Drosophila melanogaster: one gene and its partners. The protein of the gene in region 1 purifies or fractionates together with the protein of each later gene. This does not show direct contact. Each region holds a gene or a part of one and is shown in the gene's direction. Other genes may lie near its edges. The genes, in order: CG1806, Hexo1, Synd and CG5568.

Region 1 (5,151 bases):
TTGGCCTAATCATAAGTTTAATTATAAGTTTACTAACTCGAAAGCTCCATAAAATGGTTATTTTTAAACACAATTTAATATTCTATCACAAGAAAAGAATTATCTTAACTGAAAATCTTAGCTCCAGTAGTTATAATTTTTGGGAAAAGGGTATACAAACTTCGGCTTCCACGTTTTCAAAACTTCGCTGGCTAGTTGATTCCCAGCAAAGTAACCCAAGCCGAGTACACGTTAATGAAAGAAGTGCGACTTAAAACCCGTACTAAAACTGGATCATAATAGTAGCCGTATTCTGTTTTAATACCGATAATTGGCAATGCCCAACGTTCTAAGTCGCAAACTGTGGCAAATTGTACAAGTTAAAAAGGTGACGAACGGACTTTCGGATTTTATTTCTATAGTTGTCCTAATTCCAGGTTCAATATACCGCAATGACAAAGTGCTATTTTGGCAACAAAAAACGAAGCTCTGAAACTATAAAGAAAAATCTATAAACGAAACTGGCGATTATAGTTCAGCTAGCGGAAAAGGGAAGTCAAATTTCTCAGCTTTTTGTGGGAAGCGGAATTTTTGAAATCGCATATCTGTCAACGTAACATTTTCGATTCATTCTCAATCCAACATTGCGCATGATTAACAATTTATTATCATTATTCCGCAACATTTCGCAAAGTTGCATTGGTCCGTTGACCAGGCTTTGTCGTCATCTTCGACGTGAAAACAGTCCCCCTATTTTTTTTTCACCCATCTGACGTCAGTTTATGGTCTTTTGAGCCAGCAGCATTGCAATGCTTCAGTTGGCATATATTATTTAACATTTTTATGTAATGATATAACTAGATTAACTGCTAAATGCAAAGACAACTACAAAGCAATTCAGCGGTCTTGAAATCGAGGGCTAAACAAAAGAGTGGCCAACAAAACCTACCGTACTAACCATTTTAATCAACGTCTTAACGTCTTGCCAACTTGAATAAGAGCTTTTTATTGCTGAACCGTCCAAACCGAAAGCTTAGTATAATCAAGCTTGCGAATATCGGCTAATATATACGCAAATCCAGTTAAATGGCAAATTAGTGTTAGGTGAAATTTATCTACAAGTTACATTTCGAACACAGAACTAACGAAATACTTATGATCTATCTATGGTAAAATATTATACAAATTTAAATGTTGGCAAAACCTGGACATCTTAGGCTTGTTCTATAAACTAATAGATACTATAATTATATTATATTCATATATCTTATGAAATGCTATACATTTTATAACAAGCCAATTTTCTCAATGTTTAAATATATGGGTTCAAAAGTTTTCAGTTCATTATCAATGTAAATGGTGTGATAAAAAACGCAATTAGGCGATAATTTCATGATAATTTCATGAGCGTTATAAAATAACACAAGACCATAATTGCAGAAAATTTTTATATTTTCCAATTTTAAAGGGAGATACATATTCATATTAACACTAAATTCCACCTTCAAATGATTCTCCAAATATTCAAACCTCAGATGTAAGATATACTCATTAAATATTTTCACATATATTTAAATATTTATTAGTTTCTTCTGGGATCAGCTCTACCCCATCCACATTCCGCAGCAAACCGAAAATGTGGAAAAGCATCTGTTGCTTTTCCACACACTGAAAGTGGGCAATAGTTTTAACCTTGGCTAAAATGCCTTCTACAAGACCGCACTTTTCCCAACTCTCTCTCTCTCTAGCGATCTCAGCTTGGGTTTCGCTACCTCTCCGAGAGAGAGTGGGAGAGAGAGTAGGAGAGAGTGAGAGCGAGGTGTTGGGCAGTACCTGTGCGTTCAGGTATTTGAGGTGTAGCCATATGTGTACACACATACATGCATAGATGTGAGAGCATAAGTGGAAATGGCTCGCTTTAAAGCGCTCGATGAGAATTATTTTTAGTTTGTTTTCGCCTCTTGGTGCGTACAGTTGCACTCACGATCCGTCCAATCCGCTTATATTTTTATTTTTTATTATTTTTTTAGTTCAGCTTCAGTTCGATTTTGTTTTGATTTCAGTTCGTTTTTAGTTCAGTTTTTCTTTTTTTTTTTGTGAACGCTGCTTTCCCCGCCTTCGCTGTTCTCCATCGCAACGATTCCGAATCGGATTTTCGTTTTTCTGTTGGTACGACAAGTTTGCTCTTTATAAAGTTGTAAAGTTTTTTAGTCTGGCCCGCCCAACCGACGATCAAAAATGTTTTTTGTTGATTTCGATGTGTGTTATGTGTGTGCTTGTGTGTATATGTGTGTGTCCCTAAATAGATCGAAAGTAGTGGAGTTTGGCAATCAGAGGTTTATATATCGATTGTACAGCGGCAGAAATATCTTCGTATTTTCCCATTAAACGAACTCCGGTTCAGCGATCCGTAACTGTAGAACCCAGAAATTTTGAGAGTTCCAACAACCTGGCCAAGTAACGAAACCAGCAAATACCAATATCGTCGTTCTCTGGAATTTGTGAATAACTATCATTCCTCTCTCTCCCTCTCTCTCTCTCTGTCACGCTCTCGATGTCTGCATCTCCCTCTCGCCGATTGGGAGCATCATCAATGGGATGCCAACGACCCATTTAAAAACCGGAAAAATCTATGAAACCGGAAAAAAATGACTAATCTTAACGCACCGGTGCTTTGAATTAATAGAACTAGAAATTGTTTCAAAAACAGCTAAAATATAACAAAAACTAAATAATAATATATTGATAAGATTGCAATCTCAAAATATAAACATTTAGGATCTCATATTTACTTACGAAAATAGTTGCATATCCAGAGGCGTGGGAATTGTTATTGAAAACAACAAACCTTGAAGCATTACTTGATTATTTAAGAACTCATATTTCATATATGTAGCTGCAGTTTTGTTAACTAAACAAACATTTTTCTTGCAGCGAATGCAGCCGAGAGTACTATGCTCGTAGCACTTGGAGCGCTGCTTCCGCCTGGTTATCTCCTAGTTCCGGAATGTCCATCTAGCCAGGCGATTGGGAAGTCATGCCAGTGCAGCAAGTGCGTCCCGTGAGCACCTACGACAACTTGGGCGTCTCTCAGTCCAGGCAGCTGACGGCCGGAATGGCTGGCGAACCGGAAACGGAAGTCGAAGTGGAGCTCAATGGCAGCCACACCAGCCATAGCATAGCCGCTGTGAAGGCGGCTCTGAACGATGCCAAGTCCAAGTTCTTCGGCATCAACAACTATGAGTCACCCATGGCCAGTAAGAGTGCAGCAGTGACGACGATTGCCAAACCGGAGCCAAGATATCAAAATGTTCCGCAACGCGACGAACTGCCGGCAGTGGCTGCTCCCGATCCTCCAGCGCAACCAGCACAGCCGACGGCTCCAGTTAGCGATCATAGTAGGGCACTGCGCTATGCGACCACCTACGAACAGATTCCACTCAGCGACATGGAAGCACCGCAGGCATCGCAGGTAATTGACGCCATCTAAGCAATCGCAAAGTCCAAATCAAATGTCCAACTCTTATCCCAAAAAAGGCCGTCTACATGAGCACCACAGTGCCGCAGAACATGAAGGGCATGAAGATCGCCGGACGACATACGCCAACTCGCAACAGCCTCAGGCACAGCCGCATGATCGTTGTCAATCACAAAAACCACGACAGTAAGTACACCAGCTGTCTAGCGAAGCTATATGATGGAGTGTGTGGGTGTCACACAGTCATTGTTGATTTGGCAAAGAACAAACACATTTCGATTTCAATTACTCAAAGTTTGGCTATATGTACAGGTCTCCAGGCCACCAGGAATCTGAATATATCTCGCCAGCTTCTGGTTATGCAATTAGCTGTGGGCCTGTTCATCGTGGGTCTTGCCGTTTGGATACTAATCCTAGCCCCCAATGCGTCCATATTGATCAATCCGTATCTGAGTGGATTGTCGGTAAGATGAATGTGTGGAATGGTTGGATTAGTATGTATAATAAGAATGAACTTACCTCTCGCTCAGCTGCTATTGGCCAGCATTGCGGGGCTCATACTGCTGCGAAGGGATCACAAGATCACGGAGCACAGACCGCAGACCAATAGTTGCTACAAGGTCCTGCTGGCCGAGTCGTATGTGTTCACTGGCCTGGCGTTGATCTTCTGCTGCTTGGCCCTCGTCTGTGCGGCAATTGAGTTCGCGGAGCTCATCTCATCCGCAGACGGAGAATGTGGACCAACATCGAGCTCATTGCTTAGCTATCACAATTGCACCTGCTTGGCGGCAGGTGAGGTGGTGGCCAACTACTCCTCCGAGGCTCCAATGGCATTTGCAGTTGGTCAGGAGGAGGCGTCACAGTAAGTTTCGAACTGCAGTTATACTTAAACATTGGCATTGAGAATATTCTCATTTCTAGAAACGATGGTTGTGCCGAGCTTCGGATCGAATGGAAGTATCTGCTCGCCTTCTCCATGGCGCTCAACACTTTGGGCATTGTTGCAACATTCTTATACATAACGTTATTTATTTGTTGCCACCGCAAGCGAGAACACTTTTACACGTCTGTGTAGGGATATATTGTAACTTAAATTCAACATACTACTTAAATTATTTTTAGCAACTGATACAAATTACAAATAAATTATTTTTTATATCTAAGTACCATTAAAGTAACACAACGTTTAAAAACAAATACTGTTTGCTTTCGTGCGATAGCATCTAAAAAAAAACTAAATACTAACTTATTGAAAAATAATTTGTTAATTCATTCATATTTGAGCAATTAACGTGTTTGAATAAGTTTCTGCTGGAAAACATAATTAATACTTTGTGTAAATACTATATGTTTGGTATAGTTTGTGAAAAGAATTCGACTTTTTTAAAATCCACTAACTCCACCTGGCTTCCGAAAATCCGAGTTCACCCAGATGGTGTCGTTAGCTTGAGCGATTCCACAGATGACGGAACCGCGGTTCTCATAACGCTCGCATCGATGTCCCCTCTCCGCCAAGCTATCCACATAGCTCTGCCGTAGTCCATACTCGTAGAGCAGAACATTGGGCAGCATTTGATGATGGATGCGGCTGGCATCGATGGCGGCCTTGATGCTTGCCTCCTGCCACAGGATGCGCACGAGGAGGGGAGAGAGGGCAGAGATTATTTTGGTACCGCCAGCGGCACCCACAACCA
Region 2 (4,645 bases), on another chromosome or scaffold:
TCGCAGCAGAAAGTTTTTTTTCGTAGAGCTAAATAATAAAAAAAAACATTCGAAATGGATCCAGCACTGCTTCGCGAACGCGAGGCCTTCAAAAAGCGGGCGATGGCCACGCCCACGTGAGTACCGCACTTGTGGCCCCTCTGATAAAGATTGCTTCTCGAAAATTACATGCTATCCTTTTAAAATAGCGTGGAAAAGAAGTCCAAGCCCGATAGACCAGCTCCACCGCCGCCTAGCGATGATTCCAGGCGCAAAATGCGCCCGCCCAATGCTCCCAGGCTGGATGCCACAACGTAAGTTCCTTGAGAGCCTCTGCTACTGCCAGAAATGGTTCTTAACCATGTGGAACTCTTGCATTCCATACTTAGATACAAGACCATGTCCGGCAGTTCCCAGTACCGCTTTGGAGTGCTGGCCAAGATTGTGAAATTCATGCGCACACGTCACCAGGACGGCGACGACCATCCCCTGACCATCGATGAGATTCTGGACGAGACCAACCAGCTGGACATTGGGCAATCCGTTAAGAATGTTAGCTACAGTGCGTGATAAGTTGTGGCAGGTTATTAAACCATTATTCCTCTATTTTAGTGGCTTGCTAGCGAGGCTCTGCACAACAATCCCAAGGTGGAAGCCAGTCCATGTGGCACCAAGTTCAGTTTCAAGCCAGTCTACAAGATCAAGGATGGCAAAACGCTGATGCGTCTGCTCAAGCAACATGATTTAAAGGGCCTGGGCGGCATTTTGCTGGACGATGTCCAGGAATCTCTACCACACTGCGAAAAGGTGCTGAAGAACCGATCAGCCGAAATACTTTTTGTTGTTAGACCCATTGACAAAAAGAAGATTTTATTTTACAATGACAGGACTGCTAATTTTTCGGTGGGTTATAAACACACTCTTCTAAAATCCCAGCCTAATCAATTGTACCGTCTCAGGTGGACGACGAGTTCCAGAAGCTATGGCGCTCGGCTACGGTCGATGCAATGGACGACGCCAAGATTGACGAGTACCTCGAGAAGCAGGGCATTCGCTCCATGCAGGACCATGGCCTCAAGAAAGCAATTCCCAAGCGCAAGAAGGCGGCCAACAAGAAGCGGCAGTTCAAGAAGCCCAGAGACAACGAACATTTGGCCGACGTTCTGGAGGTCTACGAGGATAACACACTAACGCTGAAGGGTGTGAACCCAACGTAGAATAGAGACATTAGATTATACAAATAAAAACCACTCTCAATGGAATTAAGTACACTCGAAACTGGATGTTATAAATTTGTTTAACCACTGCCAATCTAATTAAGAATCCGCTGTGGCCGAAATCTCATTCCTCAAGATTTATAGTACCAGATTGCTGTTCTGCCTGTGGCATTGAACTTAAAAATATGACGACCGGCACAGGGAAAGATAATTAAAAAGCAAAACTATGTAATCTTTTCCTGACATTCCCCATTGCTTTCCACACCTGATGGCTGGTGGTGTGCGTGTACGAGGGCCAGAATCGATGCTGGTGGGCAGTTAAATTGGCAACAGAGGGAAGCCGTAGCTTTAGTCTGCACTGAACAGCAGCCAAGTTCAGTTGGAATCGATTTGGAATAACCTATATTTTGGTACGGCGGTTGTGCGGGCTTATCAGGAAAATTATCTATATATTGGACTCTACAAATCTAAAAAAAGATTGTGTTGCTATTTGTAATCTATTAAGATTATAACAAGAGATCCGATATTCAGTATAGACAAAAATATAGCTCATACGACTCGTAAATCAGTCATATTGCAAACTATCGTTCGTCCTCTAACTTGTTCAATTTAAAAGATAGGGTATTCATAAGTGGACTTGCATGAAATCCGATTCTTTGTTTACTTGGCTTGACTCTTTGGCACGGACAATGAGCTCTCTACTCGGCGGCAAAAACTTGTTTTGAAATACTCAATTTGTTTAATTATCATTCCCGAAGCATTCGCCAGTTGGTTTTGAGAGTTTCTGTGCTGAGGTTGACGAAATGAAGTCGACGCGGACTGCACTTGGAGTGGCCCTGCTCCTGGCCCTGGTGTCTCAACTGGCGGCCCACAGCTCGGAGTGAGTAAATCAAACCTCGTATGCTATATAGATTAGGTCACTGACTTTCTCTTTGACTTGATTCCCGCATCCAGTGACTTGGTTTACGGCTACGAGTGCCGCAGTGGCTACTGCCAGAAGGTAGAGCTCAGCGAGGAGAACTACGTCAAGGCCATCAGTCTGCCCGTGTGCCGGCTCTTCTGCGGCAGCTCCATCGGCACCTTGTGGCCCAAACCGACGGGCACTGTGCGTCTGGACACGTTGATGCGCCAAGTGGACATCTCCTTCATTGATTTCAATTTCAATGGAATTGCCCGCCAGCAGAAGCTATGGCGAGCGGTTGAAGACCGTTTCATGAACATGCTCGAAGCCCAGATTCCGGATCGCAAGGTTCTGGCACGAGGTGGCTACCGTATGTCTGTGAACATCAATACTCCGGATGAGCCGACACCGGCCAGACTCACCCTGGATACGGATGAGAGCTATACGCTGGACATTGATACGGATGCCTCGGGTCATGTGCTGGCCAACATAACCGCGTCCAACTTCTTTGGAGCCCGTCATGGCCTGGAGACACTAGCCCAGTTGATTGTCTACGATGACATCCGCCGCGAGGTTCAGGTGACTGCCAATGCCACCATCAACGATGCTCCCGTGTACAAATGGCGTGGATTGCTCCTGGACACCTCCCGTAACTACTACTCTGTGAAGTCCATCAAGAGGACGTTGGGTAAGGCAATGGTTCAGGAAAGAGGCAGGGGAGGGTTATGTTTTCCGTTGACTCTATGAGTATCCTTTTTTCCTCCTTAGAGGGCATGGCCTTGGTCAAACTGAACACCTTCCACTGGCACATCACGGACTCGCACAGCTTCCCATTGGAGGTGAAGAAGCGTCCGGAGCTGCACAAGCTGGGAGCCTATTCCCAACGGCAGGTGTACACCCGTCGGGACGTGGCCGAGGTTGTGGAGTACGGCCGCGTGCGAGGCATCCGTGTTATGCCAGAGTTCGATGCCCCTGCCCATGTGGGTGAGGGCTGGCAGCACAAGAACATGACCGCCTGCTTCAATGCCCAGCCATGGAAGTCGTTCTGCGTTGAGCCACCGTGTGGCCAACTCGATCCCACTGTGAACGAAATGTACGATGTGCTGGAGGACATTTACGGCACCATGTTCGATCAGTTCAACCCGGATATCTTCCACATGGGCGGCGATGAAGTGTCAACCAGCTGCTGGAACAGCAGCCAGCCCATCCAGCAGTGGATGAAGAAACAGGGTTGGGGCCTGGAGACCGCCGACTTTATGCGCTTGTGGGGACACTTCCAGACGGAGGCTCTTGGTCGCGTGGACAAGGTGGCCAATGGTACGCACACGCCCATCATTCTGTGGACTAGTGGACTCACTGAGGAGCCCTTCATTGACGAGTATCTGAACCCAGAGCGTTACATCATTCAGATCTGGACCACTGGTGTAGATCCGAAGGTAAAGAAGATTCTGGAGCGGGGCTACAAGATCATTGTGTCCAACTACGATGCCCTGTACTTGGATTGCGGCGGAGCTGGCTGGGTGACCGATGGAAACAACTGGTGCTCCCCCTACATTGGCTGGCAGAAGGTGTACGACAATAGTTTGAAATCCATTGCCGGCGACTACGAGCATCATGTATTGGGCGCGGAGGGAGCCATTTGGTCAGAGCAGATCGACGAGCACACACTGGACAACCGCTTCTGGCCCAGGGCCAGTGCCCTGGCCGAACGACTTTGGTCAAATCCTGCCGAAGGTTGGCGCCAGGCGGAGTCACGTCTGCTGCTCCACCGCCAGCGACTGGTGGACAATGGTCTGGGCGCAGAGGCCATGCAGCCGCAGTGGTGCCTGCAAAACGAGCACGAGTGTCCCATTGACGCGTACGATGCACAAGTTTGACCAGCTATTAAACCATTTCTCTTAACGGTCGCTATCCTTGTAGATGTAGTCGGGGCAGCGGGCGGCTTGGGTTGATCGTCCTGTTGCTTCTCACAACGCTCTCTGCCTGAAAATAAAGTACAGCTCAAAGGTGGCCTTACGCAAGTGACTTGTCGTTTATTTTGTTAAATATAAATGAGATTATTGGCCCTGCTCTGCGCCCTTTTCCGATTCAAAGCGGCAGAATGTCGGAAATAGTGAGGGAAATCCGTACAGACTCGACGATTTTTTCGAATATGAACAGTAGCAGAGTTGGACATTTTACGCTTCAATGTGTGGGGTGAGGATTTGCGAGTGATGGTGTCCTCGGCCTCAAGCATAAACTCCTTGGACTCCTGATTATGTACGTAATGAGTCTAGATACTAAAAGCTGCGTTCCCTTGTGCAATAATTTGAATGGAAGCTTTACTCATTCCACTCTTCCTCGTTGCGTCCAAACTTGTAGACCAAACTGGCGAACAGGATGAAGACGTTTTGCATCAGCAGAGCCACGCCAAACCAGCCATCCTTCTTTTCTGAAAAACGATAAGTGGGTGCAATTCAGCTAAGGAATCCTTAAATATCTGTTTATTTCTCACCATTGTTGATGAAGTCGTCGATCATCACCCAGATGGCGGCAATGATGGAGGCAA
Region 3 (8,021 bases), on another chromosome or scaffold:
AATAATATATTATTATTCTCTTTTCATTGATGTTCGTAGTTGATAGGTGTATTGTTTAGTTACAACGAATTTTTGTAAAAAGACTAACTAGTTAATATTTAAATATATTTTATCTTTAAGGTTCATATTTGATATACATAGTTATTTGCTAATAAATTCCTATGTAAAAAACAAGAGAAATTGCGTAATTCAAATTAAATCCAACTCTTATAATATCTAAGTCGTATAATTTGTTTACAAACAACTTTATTTTGTTTACAACAAAATAAAAACTTATCCATTTGAAAAGCCGTTACTTAACGAATCGTGGTTACGGTCACACTACAGCGATCAGCTGTTGGCGACCGCACTATTTTGTTTATTCCATTTTGTTTGACCATGTCGGAAGCCGATGAAAAGTGTCACTTGTAAGTAGTTAACAAGTAATATTAATTATAGCGGTTCAATATATATTAATCTCCTGCAGCTGTCGCGAGGTGTCCTTCAAGTACACCTGTCCCAAGTGCAATGCTTTGTATTGCAGCGTGGGATGCTACAAGTCCAAGGAGCACCTTAAATGTTCCGAGGCTTTCTACAAGTCCTGCATTCAGGACGAGCTGACCCAAAACACGGTAACGCAGGAAAGCCAGGAGGACATGCGGAAAATATACGACATACTGAAGAGGATGAGAGAAACGGACAGTGGTTTCAATCCCCAGGAATTTGATACAGATGGCCTGGAAAATAGTTTGGACTCGGATGGAGGCGAGGAAGGAGAGTCAGAAGAAGATGAGGCGGAAGAAAACGTCACCGAGGGGGACATACTGGATGAAGACCTGGAGGAAGACATTGCAACTCGACTGAAAGGCGTTGATATCAACGATGCGGATGAAGTTTGGAGCCGGTTAACTACAGAGGAGCAAGATGAGTTCCAGAAATTGATCACCAATGGAGATATCATGAAGCTTATGCCAGACTACAAGCCCTGGTGGATCAAGCCGAAGAACTCTAAGATTGTGATTATACCTACACCCGAAGAAGCTGCCAAGAAAGAGAGCCGTGTTCCCGAAATTTTCGGGAGCATTGCCAAATTCTCCGATATATGCAAGAAAACTCCGTCTCCGTGCCTGCACTACAATTTGTGGAACATACTAAGCGCCTACGCCTGTGTGGCTCGTTTCTTTGGCGGCGAACAGAGGACCAATGCCAGCGAGGCAGTGGCCCACCTTGTCAATCTCAGCGCCACCTTAAAGTACGGCACCAACTTCGAGGATGCTGAGGACGCTATTGTCTCCGTAGAGATGGAAGCCATCACCACGGGTAATGGTCCTGCCGGCGCGGCTGCAGTTGGAAGTGCTGCAGGAGGTGCCAATTTCCTCGTCGACAACAGGGAGCAGCTGCAGCAGGATGCCCGCCAGTTGATGGCTACGAAGGAGCACAAGTTGGCCGCCCTTAGTGATGTTCTCTATCTGCTGCAGCAGACGAAGGCAATCAGTCGCCGTAAGAATACCCAGGAAGCCGAGTTCCAGAAGCTGTTCGCTTTGGCCAGCGGAAGTGTGCAATTGGATCGCACCAAACTGGCGCAACTGGTTCGCAAAATCGAGTTTATGCTGTCGTATGTGGCGCGGGAAGAAGTCCTTTAAGCAATCCTCTAAAATAAACATTTCAAAATAATTCTGTTTTTATATTGTCCACAAAATTTGGAGCGGTATTGACTATAGATTGATTGTTATTTTATTGTTTTATTTTACTTGGAATTTAAATACAACTATGTATAATTAGTGTACACATTTTGATTGGAAACTTCAGTATTTTAAGGACTTAAAGAACAAATTGGTTTAAGTAAAACTTGACTTTGTGCTAGTACTGTAACTAGTACTTAAAAATATGTACAGATGTCTTAAAAATAAATGTATATCCTAAATACATTTCGGTATTTTTGTATTCGTATGGAGCGGTATTTTCAGCTAGCCGCGAGGTGTATTTGAATGGTCGCGAAACGGTCACACCTCACATAGTTTTTTTAGTTGGCGATTCCAGACACACACTCGAGTTGTAGTGCTTTTTTACGCTATTTTGTTATTGGTAGGTTGTCGCCCTGCTTCGGTATGAACAAGTGCCAGAGACCCAAAGCCAAGGATTATTTAACAACCATTTAAATGCAGTGCAGCTGCAGCAGCAGCAACAACAAAAGCGATCGCAATTTAGAACAGAACATTTCATGTAAACGCGTTTGGGTGTAGCGGAATTTCGCTTCCCGTGTGTTTGTGTGACCTAGCCGAGCGTGTGTGCGTGTCGGTGTGCGTCTGGCAACAACAAAATCCAATCGGCCAGCAAGTGCTCTTCGTACGCTTCGCCTGCTAAAAATTAGTGCACAGCGAAAGCATTTTAATAGCAGCGCCCCAAGAAAACCTTATGTAAGGTGTGCTGGAAAACGATGCAAATATTTACAGTAGAAACGGTCGAGACAAGTTCAATCTCAAAGATAAACGAGTTTCTTGGTTGTTTGGCGGAGGGGGATTTCTTATCGCCTAAGTGTGCGACGTGTTGGTTTAGATGTGCATATACGTATGTGTGTGTGTGTGTGTGGCGCGAGTGCTTGTGAGAGCGCCGTAAAGGTGCTTATCTATCTCCACAAATATGCGAAGTATGCGTCAACCTGTTTGTAAACTTTCTGCTGGCCATTTCCACACGCAAAACACGAAAATCGCACTGAGCCGCGATCCTATATTTATATTTATAGCCGATGATGGGGAAAATCCGTAAGCGCATCGTGAGTCGATGACGCCCAAATCAAGTCAACCCAAGATACAAGATTCCACATTCAGCAGACCCAACATCACCAATCTACACATGTGTGTAGGTGATTAAACTTCAGCAGAGGTTATTATACATATATAAATAAGAAAGCATGTATATAACCGGTCAATGCTGCTGATAACATAACCGTTATTCACCATACGGGTGTGTGCGAGTGGAACTCAAACTGACTGCATTGTTTACAAACAGCTGATGCAGGGAAACTCCACTCCACTGATAAGATACCAAGATTTCCCATCGCCGAGTATGAAAAAATTTAGCTCGCTACACAGAGAGAATTGAAATGTTAAATGTTGTCACACGTAAGGGTCTCCAATACGATGTACACTGCTGCTCTTAGGTTAGACGCACAATCGTTTTTTTTTTAACAAAATCGATCATTTATTTGCATGCTTTTTTTAATTGTCCAAAATGCTTTTCTTATCAAAGTTTTCTGTTGGTCATTGAATTAGATGCAGCTTAAATTTCTTCGTATTGCGTGGACAAGTATAAACTGTTGTATTGAAAAAATATAACAAATAAACGAATAAAGTGTTTTCGAGCTACATTTGAAGAAAAAATGGGTAAAGCTGCTGCTTATTGGAACGTCAAAAAGTAGACTTCCTACACTCGCAAGGATTGCCTAATCGGAACATTGCCAAACAGATAAATCGCAGCTGCAGAACTGTTGATAGATATTTGAAGGTTCCAGAGGCATATGGGAATAACTTCAAAGGAAAGAAAAAAGCACTATCAAAGCAAGCAGAACGCCAAATTGTTAGAATTGCTTCGAATTCTAATTTTCGAATTTGTCCGGAGTAAAAACAAGCGTATCAACTGTTCAGCGTACAATCAGAAATGCAGAACACCTGAAGCGTGTATGTATATTAAATTTCAAATTCAATTTTTGGGATCTCATTTATCTGGGTTACAAAATATGGGTGCATGAGAATTCCCTTGATAAGATGAAACTATTACGGTGGAAAATGTATGCTACACAGAAAGAAAATCTGTCAACATTATCTATTTATCTCAAAAAACAGAAATAATATTTGAAAGCGATACTAAAAATAATCGAATTCAAAATAAATTACAAATATTTATTTATCTTAATATGGTTAAAAATATGTTTATTTTTTAGTTTCGAAGAAAATTTTTTCAATTAAAATAAGACATTACCTTAATATTCCAATTTGAAAATAGTAAACCCATTGGCAGAACACCATGCAAAGTTGCACAATGAGTCAGGGGTGATAAGTCCAGTCTTTATCAATGGGGACACTCGGCGAAACCGTCAAGAAATATGGTCGTTGATAAGGCTCCAGTAATTAAAGTTCTGCCTGTTGCATCAATGTGAAGGAATTTCTTAATTGAACAAATTAGGCAAACAATAAATTTACTCAGAGCCCGTCTCGTTTGGGTTTACTATAGTATGTCGTTTAACAAACGATTTGTTGGTCTTAGCCAAACACTACAAAAATACAAGTTTGCGTATAAACAAAGAGCTTTTTGTTGTTGCTGCTGTGTGGAAGTTGTTTATGTCTGCAGTGTCTATTTACGTAACAAAACTCATATTTTACGATTATTGCGCTTAAGCCCGTCGTATGTGATTGATTAATATTGATTGGAATCCACAGGAAATGTCCCACCACAGCGATGATCAGCTCCTCCAGGCTGGAAGCGATTCCTTCTGGGAGCCCGGCAACTACAAACGCACCACCAAGCGGATCGAGGATGGTTACAAGTGAGTGGATAATCCCCAGGGAGTCTTGGTGCACAGAGAGATACTTTATTTTGCCATTATGTCAGTCGAATTCCTCGACATAATACAATTGGCTTAATATTCAAAAACATATTCGTAGCTGCAACCCAATCGTTTTTCAACGTTTCTGTCATACCAATTGGTATTGGTAACTGTATCTTTTCTGTGTGTTTAGTAGGTCATGCAGTGTCATCACATTGTTTTGAATGCAAACTTACAGCAATTCGTATTTATTTAAGGGAAAAAAATAAGAAAATATAAAGACCTTGGTATAAGCATTGGTCTTAGTATTAACTCAATTTGTTCTACTTATGTGGACATTTCATAAACTTTTTTAATGAGCTTTGATTTCTAGTGATACAATCAATCTTTTTAAGCAAATAGGTAATGGGTTCTCTCTGTGTATTTGCACTGGGCGACGCTGGGTCATTGCCAGCCGAATATATCGACACCCGAAGCCCAAACCCAAGACAAAAATTCAAACCGGTTTGCATTATTATGATTCTTGTCTCATTTCGCCCGCAGACTCTGCAATGACCTACAGCAACTGATTCAGGAGCGTGCCGACATCGAGAAGGGATATGCGAAAAGCCTGCGCACCTGGTCAAAGAAATGGGGTGAACTCATTGAGAAAGGTAAGTGAGCGGCAGGTGGGGATCTGGTGAGATATGGGGATGTGGGTGGCTGTGGCCTGTGGGATGAGACATCATCAGTCGTGGAAGCCTTCTGTTGGCCAACACATTCATTCACGAGCTAAAAGCCCAGTGGAGCATCAAGTGACCCGCTCACGTTGAATTCCCACCACTTATTTGGCCCACTGGCTGTTCTTATTTTCTACATTCTGTACATCATTCTGAGCATTGTTGTTGCCGTTGTGCGATAAGTGGCTTAAGCTATTAATGGTTTTTTTTACGTTTTTCGTTACCTCGTTTTTGTCGGTTGTATTCTGCAAAAGCTGCGCACTGTGGTTCAAAATCGCCACACCAATTTATTTAAGTATGTTAATGAGCGGGGCTGGCAAAGTGTTTGGATTAACTAACATAAACATATGCATACACTCTTCACACTCTTCATTCTAAACAATTAAAATTCGGCAGCGGAAATCTTAAGTTTGTACAAGAGAAAATAATAAATAAATAAAGAATCAAATATCTGTGGGTTTCTGCTTTATAGTAATATACAATTTTTATTTTTTGATATATAAGTTATATGGGTTCTTAAGGTTTTATTACCTTGCTATTGCCTCATATATGTACTTCTATAAGTACACACTACCAAATACTATTTTCGAAAACGGCGGTAATCATCGACTCACTCATTGTTTTCGGAATTGGGTCTTTGACCATTTTTAGCGGATGTCCGGCACAGTGTGCGCGCTTCTTCGTAAAATGAAATCGAGTACAGCGCTTGCGAAGTTGGAAACCGCTTTGCCCCATTGGTACTGTTTGCTTCTATTGCTGCTATTTTCTGTGACCGCCTCTGCACGGAATTCTCAGTGTCCACTTTCACAGTAACCAGCGATGGGCAATTGCAAAAGCGACTACCATCACTTCCTCCGCCTCCGAGTGCTCTTCGAGTTTTCTTATTTGCGAGGAATTTGCCTAGCCGCGTCTAGCCAAAGATACAGATACGAATACGTGTGCAGATACAAATACAGATACAGATACGTTCACAGTTACAGATACGGAGACTGGGAGGCAGAAGCGCTGGACAGTGGCCCATAACTCGGCACCAAAGCAAACCGGCACCAGAGCGTCGCTTGAAATGGTTTCAAAAATCAATGCGACGAGAAAATAGAACGAGTTATTTGTGTGCTAAGCGTCTCAATTTCTATATATCTGTTTGTGTGCCTTTTCACAGGGGGAATTGGGAATAGTGAGTCGTTAGGCAAACGAGTTCCGTGCACTGCCAATTATAAGACGAGCATCATATCAACTTGATTGCCGTGTGTTTGGGGTCCCAATAAAAAATGCCAAAAATGTACGATGTTCCTCCATCGCAGCACCCATACAAGCGCTTATTCTTCGGGCATTTTATATTTGCTATACCTATAGATATGGCTACATATGTATGTTTGTATATATCTTGCGGCTGCGGCTGATTAGATAAACCAAGTACCCGCGGGGCTCACGATGACGTCAGCCGCAAACAGCTCGACAGGGTGACACGCTTGTAATCTGTTGTTAATTGAGAAACGCTAAAAGAGATATATAACGAATGTCTGATTTGTTTCAGGCCCGGAATACGGAACCACGGAGGCAGCCTGGAAGGGCGTTCTGACGGAATCGGAACGCATCTCCGACGTTCACATGAAGATCAAGGACAATCTCTGCAACGATGTGAACAGCCAGATAAAGACGTGGCAGAAGGAGAACTACCACCACACGCTTATGCAGATCAAGGAGCGCAAGGACCTGGAGGATCTGTTCAAGAAGGCCCAGAAACCCTGGGCCAAGCTGCTGGCAAAGGTCGAGAAGGCCAAAGCGGACTACCATTCGGCCTGCAAGACGGAGCGCAGTGCTACCAATCAGGAACGCAATGCCAATGCCGATAGCTCGTTGTCGCCGGATCAGGTAAGGATCTTTTTTGTAAAAGCAATAGTTTAGTTATACATATGTATGTATAACTATTAATTTAATTTATTTATTAATTTTATGCTCACACCACTTCTCATTTCCTAATTAGGTGAAGAAAATGCACGATCGAGTGCAAAAGACCAAAGATCAAGTGCAAAAGTGCCGGGAAAAGTACGAGCAGGCGATTGCCGAAATCACCAAATACAATTCGGTGTACATCGAGGACATGACATCCGTGTTTGAAAAGTGCCAAACCTTTGAGAAGACGCGTTTGCAGTTCTTCAAAGAAATCCTGTTCAACGTGCACTCGTGCCTGGACCTCACAAAAGTGCAAAGGTGCGAATTGAATTTGATTTGAGTTTAACTGATCCATTTAAATAACTTTTACATGACTTACAGCCTGCCCCAAATCTACGAGGAGTTCTCCCACACGATCAACAATGCAGACCAGCAGAAAGACCTAAAATGGTGGTCGAACAATCATGGCATTAACATGGCCATGAATTGGCCATCATTTGTGGTGAGTTTTCTGTTTTTACTGAAGCCCAGTGTGGCCGCTAATGGAAGAACTTCCTATTTGTTGACAGGAATATACGGAGGAGTTCCGTGACATTGCCAAGGGCAACAAATCAAAAGAGGCACTGCCGGCAGCACCCATCACGCTCATCAACCAGCGACCTGTGGCCGAGGATGTGCACGTAAGCCAGTTGACTACCCAGTAGTTAATATCAGACTAAGCCAGCTCTTTAGCAGGAATACCCCCAGACAAACAGCCTGAAGAAGAACACCAGCACCTTGAGCAGTGTCAGCAGCAGAGCGAGTGTGAAGAGCGAAATAGCGACCACGCAATCCTCAGTCACCACATCGGAAGCCAAAACATCGGCGGCGGTTGCCGGCGCTGCGAC
Region 4 (4,275 bases), on another chromosome or scaffold:
AGTTTAATAGCTATGAAACTCAGCTCGACCAGCAGATGGCGTTTCGTAGCTGCTGCGACTTCACACAATGTTCGCTAGATGTCGCCGATATAATTTTAGTACAAAGTAGAATAGCGCCATCATCATTACCGGCCAAATATGGAACTTTATAAAACGCAATAGCATACTTTTAGGCTATAAATATAAAAAAAATTACAAATAAATTACATTGGGTAAGAATTTTCTTGCTCCTGAACAGTTACTTAGCTCTTAAAGAGATGAGCAATATTGAAAAGCAGATTTTCGGTAATCCCTTAAGCAACACACTCTGCATCGTACCTTCGATAAGTTTTGGCCAGCGAAACTTGGCAATCCTTTGCGGATGCAATTTGGAATTAATTATGGCCCGCTTGCTTGCCACTTGCCACTTGGCCGGGAACTTTTTGGGGGGCGAGCGGAGAACGGCCGACGCAGCCGCAACTTCGGACCAGCTTGTGCTGAGGTTACAAATTCTCATATGTCGCCACACACACAGGACGAAATGTGATGGACAGAAGGACATTTGGGGGCGAGGAGGTTTGGGTGGATTGGAAGCAGTTGACACAAGAGCATTTAACGCTTCAGCACGTTTTCAATTCAATTTCCACATCTTGAAGGCTGCGCCAAGGAAGCCGAGGCGTTGGAGCGTGCGAAAACTTAAGCAGACGCACCGAGCATGACAAACGAGGCTAAGGACAATGCCGGCAGGATAATGATAATGAAAGCGAATCGTGGGCGCTGCAAGACGACGGGCGTGGCCGGATAAAAAACGGAAGCTAGTGCTGCTTAATGAAGATGCCTGCAGTGGCAGCCTTGCAATAAATCAACAAATTACGCGGCAAGGGCTGACTAGGGGATTGTATCTCGCAGATACCGAGATACTTGGCCATATTTGTGCGCAGAAACAATAAGTGAACCGCTTAAAAATGCATAAATCAAGGCCCAAAACGCAGCCAAGGGAACTGAAACAAAAGCGAAGCGAGAAGCAACTGTCAAAATGATAATCGCCAACAACTGTTGAGGCTGTCTTGGCCTTATGACAAATGTTGTCGTCTCGAAAAGGGGGTGTGTGTGTGTGTGTTTCCTAAAACACCACCCACCACGCACTGGCCGAAATCAATGTTTGAAAAACACATTTTACTTATTAGTTTCGCTATGTTTGCGGAGGACAGGGTCACTCAAAATAGCGCATCATAATGGGACAGAGCAGAACTGAACGATTTCGATTCCGATCCATCCATGTCGGTCATAATCGTAAAAACAAATGCAAAACGCAAAAGCCAAATTCCTGACAGCACATTCCCCCAATTGTCAACCCCTTAATCCACTTGTTTTCCAAAACCCATAATCCTCTCTTTGACGGCTGCCCATTATCATAATCTTATTGTTGGTGGTGGTGGAGATTCCAGTCCAGCCCAGCTGACCATTTGCTGAAACACTTTTCGACATCTTTTTGAGTATTTTACTATGGGATGCAATCTCAAAATCGGATTATCAGCGGTCATGAAAACAGTCTTGGCAATTAATCATTGCTTAAGTAAACATAAATAGTAAATATGATTAGTATGGCAACAGTGACGGAATAATTGATTGGTAGATGAAATAAATTCACTTATGAACAAAACTTTTAGTATCTCTTTCTTAGCTCAAAGAAATATCGATATAATAAGTCAGTTGATAATGGTGAGACCTAACTTGAAGCTTTAAATTCGAGTTCTTGCGTCTATCACTTTCGTTTTTATGGTATTACTATCACAGAAGTTAGAGAGATATATAAATTATAAGCCTTCATTTTAATTCTTAACGTATTATACAAAATGGGTGAATTGCAAGCGGGAAAATCGCCCTTTAAGACAAGAAACACCTTTGATGAAAACTTAAAGATCTGGAGTGGTGGCGAAAAACGCAGTTTATTCTCACCAGATTTGTCCATTGGAGAAATTATCTTTCAACAAATGGAGCGCAATGCTATGCTCACTGCCCAGGTACTTAATAAATTTACAAGAAACAATATTTATATTCATCGAAACAAAACCTTTAGATTTCAGTTACAGAAAACACTGAGCTGACCTGGAAAGACATCCAGACAAACGCGATGAAGGTGGCAAGTTATATGCGTAAACTGGGTCTGGAGCAAGGTGACTTTGTGGGAGTCATTGGCAGGTTGACCACTCACTTGACTGCTCTGGCCTATGCCTGTTTCTTTAATGGAACTCCTTATCATGCCCTACACACCGAATACGAACAATCTGCCATCGAGAGACTGTTCGGAATAACCAAGCCACGCTTAATCTTCTGTGATGGAGATGAGTTTGAGAAAGTTCAAGCAGCCACCAAAGGCCTTCAGGTACAAATAGTAACCATGCGTAATCACCCGGCAGGAATATTGAGAATTCAGGATATTTTAACCACTCCCGTGGAGATGAACTTTCGACCAGTGCGACTGAAAGACGGTACTGATCAACTACTGGCCATTCTTAGCTCTTCGGGAACATCCGGCCTTCCAAAGGCAGTCACCATTAGCAATAGTCACCAGATTATTGGGAGTTTTCTGTAAATATTACCACCTTAATTTTATACACCCATCTAATTTATTATTTTCAGACCCGTGGATAGCTCGATTATTCAGTATAACCCAAACACTTTGGATTGGGCATCAGGCATCACGATGACCATCAATGCAGCCGTGTTTAGCTTGACTAGTATAATTGAAGATTGTGACTTTGATCCTGCCAATTTGTGTGGCCTAATTGAGAAGTATCGAATATCGATGGTGTTCGTAAGTTCCTCGCAATTGGCGATGCTGTCCAATTGCCCGGAATTCTATGCGGCGGACCTATCATCCGTGAAGTATTTCTTTTACGGCGGATCAAACTGCTCACTGGAAGTCCAGAACAAAATTCGCAGCCGTCTAAGCAACGAATGTGTAAATTTCAGTTATACACTAACCGAGTTGAACAGCCCCGGATGCCTAAACTTCAACTTCGATGAGAAACCCAATTCAGTGGGTCGTCCGGTTAGAGGCATTCAAATCAAAATAGTCAACGAGCTGGGTGAAGCACAAGGACCCAATGTCGTGGGCGAGATATGCTTCAATAATGGTCAGAAATGGCCTGGTTACTACAAGAATCCGGAAGAAACGAAGAAGATGCAGGACTCGGAGAACTGGTTTCACACCGGGGACCTGGGCTACATGGACGAGGATGGATATTTGTTCATTATCGATCGCTTGAAGGATATGCTCAAGTATCAGACCATCATGTATTACCCCAGCGAGATTGAAAGTGTCATCGCTGAAATGCCAAATGTTGTGGAAGCTTGTGTCTTTGGCATTTGGGATCCCGTTTATGGAGATAAGGCAGCCGCTTCAGTGGTCAAGAAACAAGGAACCCAACTAGAGGCCCAGGATGTTGTGGAGTATGTGAGGAAACGTATACCTGCCAAATTTAAGCAGTTGAATGGAGGAGCTTTGATTGTGGATCACATTATTCAGAGTGGCAATAGAAAAGCAAACAGAGCGGCCACAAAAGCTGAGTTTTTACGAATTATGGAGAAGAATTAGTTTTGCATATTTAATTATTGTAATGTTTATGTTGTATTTGTATTTTTATTGTATTTGTATTTGTATTTGTTGTATTTATCGTAAGCTTTTTAAGAGGTTCGCCATCTTAGGCATTTTTTCATATTCGCCGAGTAAAATAATACCGAAACACATATCGATTACAAAATCGTTAATACAGCTGATCTTTCGTAATTATGTACATTATTGCTGTGAAATAGCATTGCTGATACGAGGGGTTATAATAGCATAATTTACTTAAAAACTAATAATCGACTCAGCATTTTCTTATAATGGCTGAAATGGAAGTAAAACAAAAACTATTGAACGCGATGTGCACTTATGATGATAAACTCAAGATCTGGAGTGGTCGTGAAGCACCAAGTTTATTTTCGCCAAACTTATCAATCGGAGAGATAATCTTTGGGGATATGGTAAACAATCCGAAACTCATTGCCCAGGTGAGTTTCTTTTCTCTCGAAATCAGAGAAATGTATAGATTTGCATTGAACCACCAGATCTCGATCACGGAGGACATCGTACTCACCCGCGAAGATCTTCATATGAATGCGATGCGAGTGGCTAGTTATATGAGGAATATGGGCTTGGGGCAAACTGATATAGTGGGGGTCATGGGCAGACACACGACTCACCAATCAGCTGTGGCATATGCATGCTTCTTCAACGGAACCCCCTTA

What was found.
Region 2: the proteins of CG1806 (region 1) and Hexo1 purify together in Drosophila melanogaster (affinity purification with mass spectrometry, with the first as the bait; one large-scale study listed by BioGRID). This does not show direct contact.
Region 3: the proteins of CG1806 (region 1) and Synd purify together in Drosophila melanogaster (affinity purification with mass spectrometry, with the first as the bait; one large-scale study listed by BioGRID). This does not show direct contact.
Region 4: the proteins of CG1806 (region 1) and CG5568 purify together in Drosophila melanogaster (affinity purification with mass spectrometry, with the first as the bait; one large-scale study listed by BioGRID). This does not show direct contact.

What each region holds. Positions count from the first base shown.
Region 1 is NC_004354.4:12,005,254-12,010,404, forward strand, and holds CG1806 (uncharacterized protein), read left to right. Parts: upstream 1-1,922; 5' UTR 1,923-2,148; intron 2,149-2,913; 5' UTR 2,914-3,016; coding exon 3,017-3,451; intron 3,452-3,516; coding exon 3,517-3,643; intron 3,644-3,769; coding exon 3,770-3,921; intron 3,922-3,987; coding exon 3,988-4,319; intron 4,320-4,378; coding exon 4,379-4,532; 3' UTR 4,533-4,651; downstream 4,652-5,151. Other genes in the region: CG1492 (uncharacterized protein), read right to left, coding at 4,841-5,151.
Region 2 is NT_037436.4:4,287,096-4,291,740, forward strand, and holds Hexo1 (hexosaminidase 1), read left to right. Parts: upstream 1-1,545; 5' UTR 1,546-1,606; intron 1,607-1,812; exon of another isoform or gene 1,813-1,954; 5' UTR 1,955-1,999; coding exon 2,000-2,076; intron 2,077-2,150; coding exon 2,151-2,785; intron 2,786-2,865; coding exon 2,866-3,955; coding exon of another isoform or gene 3,956-3,974; exon of another isoform or gene 3,975-4,017; coding exon 4,018-4,084; 3' UTR 4,085-4,116; downstream 4,117-4,645. Other genes in the region: TfIIEbeta (transcription factor IIEbeta), read left to right, coding at 55-116, 189-293, 369-531, 592-882, 939-1,196; CG15012 (uncharacterized protein), read right to left, coding at 4,419-4,528, 4,592-4,645.
Region 3 is NT_033777.3:20,830,810-20,838,830, forward strand, and holds the start of Synd (syndapin), read left to right. Parts: upstream 1-1,989; 5' UTR 1,990-2,064; intron 2,065-3,587; exon of another isoform or gene 3,588-3,656; intron 3,657-4,415; 5' UTR 4,416-4,418; coding exon 4,419-4,522; intron 4,523-5,065; coding exon 5,066-5,175; intron 5,176-6,775; coding exon 6,776-7,113; intron 7,114-7,225; coding exon 7,226-7,452; intron 7,453-7,515; coding exon 7,516-7,636; intron 7,637-7,703; coding exon 7,704-7,814; intron 7,815-7,866; coding exon 7,867-8,021. Other genes in the region: CG31223 (uncharacterized protein), read left to right, coding at 379-407, 467-1,622.
Region 4 is NT_037436.4:5,869,763-5,874,037, forward strand, and holds CG5568 (uncharacterized protein), read left to right. Parts: upstream 1-1,738; 5' UTR 1,739-1,835; coding exon 1,836-2,003; intron 2,004-2,059; coding exon 2,060-2,571; intron 2,572-2,622; coding exon 2,623-3,580; 3' UTR 3,581-3,756; downstream 3,757-4,275. Other genes in the region: CG18586 (uncharacterized protein), read left to right, coding at 3,871-4,038, 4,096-4,275.